Schizosaccharomyces pombe: one gene and its partners. The protein of the gene in region 3 interacts with the protein of the main gene of each other region in a biochemical or structural test. Each region holds a gene or a part of one and is shown on either strand. Other genes may lie near its edges. The genes, in order: tup12, spt5 and pct1.

Evidence for each region.
Region 1: the proteins of pct1 (region 3) and tup12 form a complex in vitro, tested with the Schizosaccharomyces pombe proteins (one study listed by BioGRID).
Region 2: the proteins of pct1 (region 3) and spt5 form a complex in vitro, tested with the Schizosaccharomyces pombe proteins (2 studies listed by BioGRID, with this or other methods).

The regions. Positions count from the first base shown.
Region 1 is NC_003424.3:375,323-379,079, forward strand, and holds the start of tup12 (transcriptional corepressor Tup12), read right to left. Parts: upstream 1,816-3,757; 5' UTR 1,795-1,815; coding exon 1,671-1,794; intron 1,610-1,670; coding exon 1,522-1,609; intron 1,125-1,521; coding exon 772-1,124; intron 509-771; coding exon 1-508. Other genes in the region: gluconate transmembrane transporter inducer Gti1, read right to left, coding at 2,870-3,757. UniProt on the Schizosaccharomyces pombe protein: Transcriptional repressor.
Region 2 is NC_003424.3:1,061,737-1,065,493, reverse strand, and holds the start of spt5 (DSIF transcription elongation factor complex subunit Spt5), read right to left. Parts: upstream 1,751-3,757; 5' UTR 1,628-1,750; coding exon 1-1,627. Other genes in the region: BRCT domain protein Rad4, read left to right, coding at 2,633-2,698, 2,756-2,863, 2,930-3,757. UniProt on the Schizosaccharomyces pombe protein: The spt4-spt5 complex mediates both activation and inhibition of transcription elongation, and plays a role in pre-mRNA processing.
Region 3 is NC_003424.3:2,675,086-2,678,842, reverse strand, and holds the start of pct1 (RNA 5'-triphosphatase), read right to left. Parts: upstream 1,758-3,757; 5' UTR 1,704-1,757; coding exon 1,470-1,703; exon of another isoform or gene 1,416-1,469; coding exon 738-1,415; 3' UTR 217-737; coding exon of another isoform or gene 1-216. Other genes in the region: dut1 (deoxyuridine 5'-triphosphate nucleotidohydrolase), read left to right, coding at 1-216; ESCRT III complex subunit Did4, read left to right, coding at 2,873-3,154, 3,237-3,287, 3,445-3,744. UniProt on the Schizosaccharomyces pombe protein: First step of mRNA capping. Converts the 5'-triphosphate end of a nascent mRNA chain into a diphosphate end.

The DNA of each region.
Region 1 (3,757 bases), 2.3 Mb from region 3:
CCAGTCAGTAGACGATAAACACGTTTTTGAGCGATGTCCCATATTCTGATTTGTTGATCTTCGACACCAGTAGCAAGGTATTTACCATCAGGACTAAATGCTACACTGCGAACATATAAATCACCTTCACGCTTCGAAGATTCCTCCTGCAGAAGCGTAATTAATTTACCGGTCTCCACATTAAAAACCATAGCTGCTCTGTTACAACCCGTAGCCAAAAATTTTCCATCGGCACTAAACCTTACATAACAAATAACGCTTGTGTGTTCCAGTGTATGAAGTAGTTGAACAGAGATCGGGGGTTCTTTGTTAGGTACATTGCTAGTGACAGTCCAATCTTTCTCCTCTCTATTAGGCACATTGGATGTCGGAATAATTTCAGCAGGATAAGGAGGATTACCTGAGACTTTTCCGTTTACAACCAAAGGAGCAGCGATAGGTGTGACGGAAGAATTAGCTGAGTCAGATGGAGGTGGAGGATGTCCGAGCGGTAAATTGGAAGGAAATGCTGTGAATGGTAAGTAAGAAAATCCAAATTAAAACGAGGAAGCAAAATAGTTTCGGCAATAGTATTTTGTTTTACAAAAAATGAACAAAAGCCGCAAGGAATTCAAACGAATTAATGACAGCATTAAAAAATTGTCTGGGAACATACGGTGTACAACATACCAGATGCAAACAATAAAGTGAAAGACAAAAAGTATCTATAAACTTGATCAAGTCAAAAAACAAATGCTGTTGCCAAAAGCTACAATGCAAGCTTGAACTTACTTCGCATAGCAGATCCAGCCATGGTTGCACCCACAGCAGGGCGTACATGAGGACTGGAATAATATTGTGAACCAAGATCTACGTTCGAGGTCTGAATAGGAGCTAAAACAGTACCATCTGAATCAATGGCAGGTGATCGAAGATTTTTAGGAGTTCCTCCAGAAGAACCGTTATTAAGTATCAAAGGTTTCGAGGAGTTGTCCGAGTTAAAAGGGCCCGCATTTCCATATTTTCCAAAAGAAACGCTATTGCGCCCGTGTTTAGTTTTCGAAGACTGTGGGACGACGCCAGAAGCAATTTCTTTGCGTCTAGCTTCCAGTTGAGCTTTTAAGGAGGTGATTTCTTCTTCGTAACTAGAGAGAGTTAGTAACAAGAAAGATAGCTTTCGAGAAAATATAATATAAAATTGAGAATAAATGTTCACATAGCAGAAGGCATGCTGGTGCTGACAAAAGTGTGAAAAGGACAGAGAATCTTCGAACAGTGATAAACATCCAAATACTGAGTAAAAAACGAAATACCCTTCATCGGAGTAAAAATATGAAAAGATTACTTAATAGAATTTACTCCCATCAAAGGAGCCACCATTATTTAGCATCTTTAAAGATTTATCGTCAACGACCGTAAATTGTATAAATATTTAGAGAGGAATCGCTTTTGTAAGACTCTACAACACTCACAATAATTGCATAACCTTGTACTAATATAACAAACCTTCTCGCCAAGCGTGTATTAGGAAAATTGACATACCGATCCTTCACTTTAGACTGCTGCATCTCCAAATCCATAACGGTTTGTTTCATGAGCGCCATTTCATTAATTTGTGCAGATATCATTGCTAATTTAAGAAGTGTTAGATTTGTACCGCAAATTTGTCAGCAAATTCTTGTATAAGATACCTTTATATTCAAAATCATCCTTTTGAGCTTCAACGGTTTTAGTTTTTTGACAAATATCTTCAAATTCCTTTTTAACCGCTTCTAAAAGCTCATTTACACGTGATGATACATTGGACGTCGCCATAAATTGAAACTTGAAGATGGTAAAAGTGAATTGGCGGACAGTAATCATGAATGATGTTGTTTGAGAAATAACGAGAAATAACATTCGTTAATTTCGGTAAAACCTTCTCGGCTTCGAAGCTAAAGTAAGCAAACTATGTTGAGATTAACATGTCAGGAAAGACAATTTCACTTATGCTTAGCGAGACAATATTGTTGAATTAGTAATTTGGCTGTTCATTCAACTTGCCGCAGTTGGAAAATGTAAAATCATTAATTTGTGATGAAACCTCGTAAAACATATTTTTTAACGTTAATCGATTGAAACCCTTTTTGAATTAGTTCGTGAAATATCTTAACTCTAAAACCTTGAAAATCTTTAGATAGAAGATCCTTTTTTTTTTTTTTTGGGAAGAATATGAAGCGTTTTGATACAATTGGTAATAAAACATTATTTGGTATTGGTTTTTATTGGAAGTTTAGTTTTACAAAAGTGTAGATGTCATAATCCTAATATGAATTCTTAAAGTCAATCAAGAAAACTATTTTATGGGTATTTTGAAACAAACTTACTTTAAGGATGAATTCCATAGAAGTTAACGTAATTTAATTTCATCTTGATAGTGAATAACTTTGAAAACACTATATGCTATTTCCAGAAACTAGTCTCGAATTTTCATACGCCATAGACGGCCTGCTCCTCAGCCCATTGACTTAATTTACTATGATACACTTCCTAGATTTATTGAAAGGGTTTGTTTGCTTGGCATAAATATTCATTTAGTATGCTACTCGCAAAAACTTCAATTTTAAAGCCGCTTTGAAGAATAAGTTATTGCTGGTGGAAAAAGCTATCCTAGAGCATCTGAAAACTACCACTAACATGAACAGAATGTAAAGCAAATAGTACAAAAACAGATATTGAGCTGTGCAGTAAACACATAAAAAAAACATTACTTGAATGGAATGTTTTTACTTATATATGGCACATATAACAAGAGTTGGATAAAAGGATTAATACATAACGTTAAGACATTTAAAAAAAAAAAAGAAAAAAAACCTCACAAAACTTAATATTCGTAAGAATTTTTTTGTAATCATGACAAGGAGCCGCGTTCTTTTGAAAGTGGTTCAGTAAAAAGCATCGTTTGGTTGTTAATGGGATAAGGATTCGTACGTGCCGAAATTCGATTGTGATTTCCATTTAATGAAGAATAATGACAGAATCGATTTCCCGAAGTACGCATTGGTAAAGAAGCAGATGAAGGTATGATAGGAACAGATCCTCGACGCATATTCGAGAGTGGAGGAATTGGAACCTTGGGTAAACGACCACCAGAAGCGTGGTTTTCAGCAGCTAAAGGATTTTTACCTTTCGCAGTGGCGGCATAGTGGTCATAATGACCTCCATGCGGAGTCGACATAGCGGAATAAGCGCTTGACTGAATGGCATTGCCCATACTCTCCATTGACACGGCCTGTTGAGCATAAAGCGGGTTTTGAGAGGCCAGTTCTGAGTTTGAATTAGTTACATGATAACCCATATTCTGGTTCCAAGAGGTGGATAAGTTTTTTGGGATAGAATTGGAAATAAAAGAGTAATTTTCATTGACATCGGGTTGCGTGTCAGACGTTAAAAATTGTTTGGAAGCAGCAAGAGACATGTTATAGGAAGATTGGTCAATTGAATCAGTGTTAGAAGACGGCTGTTTTGGCTGCAAATACTGTGATTTTTGGTCGACATAAGGACCTTCTCCGTAATCGAACAGAGCTTGAGATGGTGATGTGAATTGAATTAAATTCAAATTAACAAATGAATTATTAGCATTGGGATTCACAGGGTTAAAGGCTAATCCGGATGGATTATAAACATCATTCATATACTGTGGAAGAGTCTGTAAAAAGTTTGGGTAGGAATGACGAGCAGCCATCTTTATCGGAGGCTGCTCAATATTTTCATTTAAGGCATTGTTTGAAATTGACTG
Region 2 (3,757 bases), 1.6 Mb from region 3:
GGACAACCATACCGGTGTCATCCTTGTACTTTCCTGCTATAACTTTTACATAATCACCATGTCTAAACCTTTTCCTCAGGCCCCGAGATGGTACATCTAACCGTAAACCATCAGAGGATACCATGGTAATAACGCTACCTCGAACATTTTCAACAACACCACTTACTCCAGTCTGCTCACCAACATATACCTCGACATGATCTCCAGGCTGAAATTCAGCATGGCCCCCTTTGACGCTGAGAGCCAAAGAGCTGAGATCCAAATCCTCATTATTAGGATTGAATTTGGATACCTCGTCAAGTGTAGGATTAACTCCTTCAGTTATCAGTGAGGAAATACGAATGTCCTTTACCAAAAATCCATCTTCGAACTCTTCATTGTTGAAGAGGAAAAGTCTAGGACCACGTTTAGAAAACTTAGAAGGATTGCTTTTAAATGCTTCGCTTTCATTAAAGAGTCTTGCTTGAGGACGAGTGGCAGAATTCTTTCGTTTCAACCCATCGGAATAATCAATACGAGGAACTATACGTACACGTGCGGTTAAACCATTTTCTGAAAGGTTGTCAACCTGAGCGAGATCACCGGCGTACTTTCCACGGCGTATACGCACATATGCACCAGGCAACAGTTCAACAACCTGTTTTTGAACTTTGAGTAAATCCGGCATTTCCTTAATTGGAACTAAAATCATGTTATTTGTATAAACATTTAAAACCCCATTAAGTGCATCTAGAACATGTGATTGCTTTCGAGCTTCAACGTATATATAACCGACCAGCGAGTCACGTTGAAATGCTGAAATGATTTCTAATGGAGAGCTAGTATATTGCAAATCCATAGCTTTCCGCATTATGGTAAAAACAATATCCTTTTCTTTGCCAATTTTACAGCGAACAGCCCAAATATTGGGATCATTCACTGAAGGAAGTAGAAGACGTTGGGGAACATTGCTTGTATCTCCAACAACAGTTTGGCTACGACCATACTTTTCACGATACTCCTCAGCAAGGCGTTCAGCATCAACAGATTGTAGTTCCTGTCTTTGACGGTCAAGTTCACGATGGCGACGATCATCACCGACGTAATCCGCTCCAACTTCTTCTTCAATGAAACCATCTTCACGACCAATTTCATCTTCCTCATCTTCAAGCTCTTCCTCGTCCTCATCTACTTCTGCTTCAATATCAAGGAATTGGTTGCGGCGGTCATGGCGAGCCCTTTTTCTTCTACCGCCACCTGATTCATCTTCATCTTCCTCGTCTTCCTCATCATCTTCTTCATCCTCTTCTTCCTCTTCGTTTGCATCAGCTTCTTCCTCGTTTTCTTCAACATTATCCTCATCTTCTTTTTTGTCATTGTTATTTACATTATCGACTTCGTTTTCATTCCCATCTTCGCCTTTATTAATTGTGGTATCATTTGGACTTTCGTTATGGGAATCCACGGGAGAACTCTGTTTTTCATTTGTAGTAATTTTAGCAGCTTCAGAATCATCATTCAGCAAGTCACTTCCATTGGGGGATGCACGGGTAGAATTGATTTTAACTGAAGCAGCATCTTGCTCAGCTGCATCTACCTCAGTCGAATTTGCATCTTTATCAATAGATTTCGGAGAATTCGTATCCATTGTGACTTAAAAAAGAGGAAATAGTACCTATTCCCTCAATGCTTTGTTTTTAGACCTTTAATCTAATATAGGCGATAGGTTCGCCGATTAATGAACTTTTTATTCAACAAGTGGTGTTTTGTTAAAGGTGACTTACAGTACGTACTGCTGCCCTATTTTACCAAGCAAGTAGGTCTTGTATGGCTTGCAGCGACAAGAGTATAGATATACGAAAGAAGCAATTTAGAATGGAATACTTACGGTTTTTTTGTAAAATCAAACTTTTGCTTTAAAAGTATTTGCTTTAATGGTAAGCTTGAGCAATTGCCACTGCTGGTAAACAAACTTGTATACACGAAATGCCATACACAATCTTAAAGTTAGACTTGGTTTAATTGAAATTAAAGATAATGGGATGCTCAGATTATCAATAAATTCATCTTACATTTAAATTGTAATATTATGTTATATTCCATATAACTATGAACCCTTTAGGGCAATATCCCTTTGCGTTACTAAAATCCAATATAAATATTAAACTGGATAAGAGGATATTTTTTACCGAGAGAATATAGGACAAAGGTGGTGTCCATATACTATCTTCTTACTCAATAAATCTTATAATTATGATACAGGTTAAATGAGGAATAATATAATAGCCAGCTCTTGGTGCTTGTTCATAATTTCCCCCAAACCAATGATGCTACTCAGCTATACAGCATCGTGTACATTGCCAATACAGTCGAGTTTTTCGAATAAATGCTTAAAATTTAATTTTGGCCTTTTATGACTCTCCATTTGTCAATCTTCGCACCCACCACGGTAGCATATAACAACTTGGTTTTAGCTTCAATCTACTCTTAACCTTCGAAAGTCGATTTTCTCTAAACATTCTTTATTTTCCCTTTTAAACATTACCAATTTTTGCATTTCCTCACAATAATATGTAGTGGTGATGGACGCGTTTGTACTCGTAAATTACCTATACCTACTCACCTAGAACTCATAAATGTCGGTAGTGAAAGAATGGGTTCTTCTAAACCACTCAAAGGCTTCGTGATATGTTGTACCAGTATCGATTTAAAGCAAAGGGTAAGATTTTTGCACGACGAATCGCATTTTTTGTTATTTGTGTTACTAACTTGACAGACCGAGATATCTACAAAAGCAACTAAACTTGGTGCTGCCTATAGATCAGACTTTACTAAGGATGTCACGCATCTTATAGCCGGCGATTTTGATACTCCAAAATACAAGGTATGTCGTAAAATCTTACAAATTACACTATCCTTCAAGAGTAAATGCTGACATTCTTTTCAATAGTTTGCCGCAAAATCCAGACCAGACATAAAGATTATGTCTAGTGAATGGATACCTGTTCTTTATGAAAGCTGGGTACAGGGAGAAGATCTGGATGATGGCCTGCTCGTCGATAAACACTTTCTACCAACTCTATTTAAATGCCGGGTTTGTCTTACCAACATTGGCCAACCAGAGAGATCTCGTATTGAAAATTATGTGCTTAAGCATGGTGGTACATTTTGCCCTGACTTAACTAGAGACGTAACTCATTTAATAGCTGGCACCTCATCGGGTCGCAAATATGAATATGCATTAAAGTGGAAAATCAACGTAGTTTGCGTTGAATGGTTATGGCAAAGTATACAAAGGAATGCTGTCCTTGAGCCGCAGTATTTCCAATTGGATATGCCAGCCGAAAAAATTGGACTTGGCGCGTATGTTCGTCTAGATCCCAATACTACGGAGGCAAAGTCTTATTCTGAAAACCAAAAAATAAGCAAGAATAAAGAAAAGTCTGGTCAATCCTTGGCTGCATTGGCGGAGGAAGCGGATTTAGAACCCGTGATTATGAAACGGGGAAAGAAGAGAGATAGAAGTATTTTATGGGAAGAACTTAATAATGGAAAATTTGAATTTTCCAGCCGTTCTGAAGAAAATTCAGTACTACTGGATGATTTCACTCCCGAAACTGTTCAACCCTTAGAAGAAAACGAATTAGATACGGAACTCAACATCGAAAACGAAGCTAAACTTTTTAAAAATTTGACTTTTTATCTTTACGAGTTTCCAAACACTAAGGTCTCCAGGCTTCATAAATGTTTGAGCGATAATGGAGGCCAGATTTCTGAA
Region 3 (3,757 bases):
AGCATTGACACTGGCGCCGGTGTGATTGATGCAGATTATCGTGGCCATGTTCGTGTTTTACTTTTCAATTACAGTGATGTTGATTTTCCTATAAAGGTCGGAGACCGGATAGCCCAACTTATTTTGGAAAGAATTGTCAATCCACCAGTCATACTTGTAGAGAGCTTAGAGGCTACAGTCCGCGGTGCTAATGGCTTTGGAAGTACCGGTGTTTGAGGCCGCTTTTAAAACATAACCTGCAATCAAAGGTTTGGACACTTGTATTTTATAATGCTATTTTGTATATTCGGTATGAAAATTCTTCAATAAATATTTTTATTGGGTGAAGTAACTGAAAACTTTGCAATTAAAGGAATATAGGAGTTGTAAGCTGCTCTCGTAAAGATACAGTAATTATAACGAATGATGTTATCAGACAAAGCTGATCCTTAATTTAGGTGTACATTTAGAAAATGTACGTAGAAATTCTAACTACCCGTCGTAATAGGTAAAAAAAAAAATAGAATCATCCAAGATTAAGCCTCAGTTTAGAATCACCGAGATACAAAATCGAAAATTAAAATATGTGCATGGGGGTTTATACCTAACGTGACTTTCTTTTACCTTGATTATTGCCCAGTATGAAATGATGATTAAATTAAAGTAATTAAAAACCCCTTTACATTCTGATGCAAAGCAAGGAACAATTATTAAGAAATGACTTAAGAATGTCAAATAAGTAGCAAAAGTGTAAAGAATTAAGAATGCTCTCGTCTCAAAATACGAACATTGTCCATAAACAACTGTACCCTCCGAAACAAAGGAGCTTCCATTCCATCTTTGGCCTTTTGAGCACGATCTCTCAAATCCGCGATGTTACCAAACTCAACTTCTAGCTCATGACGTTCAGTGGTATCGTAAACTGGGTCATTTTGAGTAGTTTTAGTCAAATCAATTTTAATTTCCTGATGCACATAGCCAACGCGATCTTTAAGTCGTGTCAAACTTGGTTGTTGATTACCTGAAGGCATTGAAACAGGTAATTCGTCGCTGATGGAAATTCGTATATCAAAAGCATCATTAGGGCAATATAAAAATAAATCAGCAACTCTTCGCTTTTTCACACAGGCCAAAACTTGATTGTCACTTTGATTTTTTGAGACGCGTATTTTATCTCGTGAGTTATCTTCAGTTTCATAGAACAAATCTACTTGCTTTGTATGCTTATAGGCAAAAGGAAGCCGTCCAGGTTTTTGTGAATCACGAAATGCCTGATTAAGAAACTCATTCAAATATTTATGCTCGGAAGCGGTCATATCACTTTCAAACCGAGTACGAAGATTAAATTCCGGGTTTAAAATAGTTTCATTCATCACCGGAAACTCAAATCGATTTTGAGTTTCCAAGTCAATTAATGTACCAAGTTTCGCCTCAATCTAAAATAAGAAAAAATCAGTTAGTAGAACGTATGACTAAAAACATTTACCAACCTCCACATGTTCAACAGGTTCAGTTATCAAATAATGTGTAAGAAAGTTTGAAATAACTTTAGTCGTATCTGGAACAATCGGTTTATTTAAGAAGTTCATTTCTATCTTTGGTACAGCTACGGATTTTGTCCTTTTTCTTTCGACTTTATCGTGTTCCACAGCATTTTCATCTATCTTTCTTTTTTCAATAGAAGGCAGTTCGTTTTCTTCATGTAATAAACCTTTAAGGTCCATTCGTGATGAATTCGTACTTTTCTTAGTTAATATGGTTAGTAGGTGTACTCACTTAACGTGTACATCCACGTTGCTAAGTTTGTCCCAAAACTGAAGTCAACTAAATTGTTCAATAGCATTACTTTTAATTATACATTTCTTCTTGTAAACATATTAATTGATTCTGACACTGTCACTTTCGGTAGTTCCTTTTTGCCGTTTAGTACTTAGTATACCGACAGGTTGTTTAACATATGCAAAAAGGATATATTAAAAATGGGATTTGTTGAATAAAATAGTTTGATGTGAAATTTTATCAGATATAATACGTATGATTACCGTTAAGTATGAAAACCGTATAGAAACTTACAATAACTTTATAACCGTTCGTGTCGATTTCGTACCTCTATCTGGATGAGTTAGGTTAGGCTACGTTCGTAATTTGTTTCAGGTATAAATCAAGTGTATCGATGTGTTAAAAGTGTGGAAGTAAAGCTATATTGAACTTATCAAACATTGCTAGCTAAGATGACAATGATGTTGATCTTCTTGTCAAAAACTCAAATACTCGCTTGGCATGTTCAAATGAAGCTACTCAAGATGCTTGGTTTAAATACCTCTTTATATAATTTTCAAACTCTCAACTATCCAGTTTATTGAACTGTTAAACTATCAAAAATTAGTAAAGTGTGATACATTGTAAAGTATGCTATTAACTAATAAGCTATTTATTCAACCCAGTTTTACACACACAATTACTTAGCTTTTTTTGAGCCCTCTAAATCAGTTTAATAACTGTAGTATTAAGCTTTTCCTGGATGTTTTACATACGTTTACAAGGTATGATATTTGACTAGATCTGCTTGCTAGAGCATAATAAATACACATTTGCACACATCAATTGTAGCAATTGTTTGTAAAATAACCTTTCCTAGATAGACAAATTCAAAAAATTTTAGTTGGAATTTTTATCATTAATCTTCTGATTGAAAATATATATAGTTAAAAGTCTAGCTTATCAAAAATATAGACTTTAAATATGAAAATTTGTTACGATTTATGTGTTTTTCCAATATAGTAGTTAATATACAAAACGTACTACGTATATAATGATATTATATTAAGCCATTTTGTGTCGTGTGTGTTATCAATAACTAAACATTCATGAGCACAACCACAGCGAAACGCTCATGGGCTTAACTTCTTGGCTATTTGGAGGGGGGAAGTCCCCTCAAGAACAGCTGAGGGCTCATCAGAGATCTCTTGGTCGAGCTGAACGGGAATTGGATCGTGAACGAACGAAATTGGACCAAAGGGAGCGAGCGCTTATTCAAGAAATTAAAGGTAGTGCAAAAGCCGGAAATACTGGTGCTGCCCGTATTCAAGCTCGGGATTTGATGAGACTAAGGAATAGCCGTAAGAAAATGATGAATGCAAAAACGCAGCTACAAGCTATATCTTTGAGATTACAAGTAAGTCCATTTGATTGATAATCTTCACTATATGAGATTTTTTAAATTTTTTCGTTTAACCATAATGCTAATCTTTTTATAGACGATGAGAACCAGCGAACAGATGATGCAGAGTATGCGAGGTGCTACCAGGGTAAGATTACACTAACCCCATTGTTTATTTCTTCTTTCTGATTTATGGAAGCCGTAAATAATCAATTGAGGATCTTCTGGGTTTTAAAAGAAAAGAATTTCATAATGACTTTCCTTTCACCTTAATATCGAAAAATATAGAACTAACTTTTACAAAGTTATTGACAGGGATGAACAAAAGCATGAATATACCGGCAATGGCTCGTATCACTCAGCAATTCGAGCGTGAAAATGAAATTATGGAACAGAGACAAGAAATGATTGATGAAAATATGGACGATGCTTTAGAAGAAGATGACGAAGAGGAAGCTGATGAACTTGTCAATAAAGTGTTGGATGAAATTGGAGTCGATTTGTCTCAAGGATTGCCAGATGCTGCGACCCAAATTGGTACGGTACCGGAGTTAAAGACTGAAGACAATTTACAAGCCAGATTGGATGAACTGGCAAAGCGTTAATTTTCGCACAAGA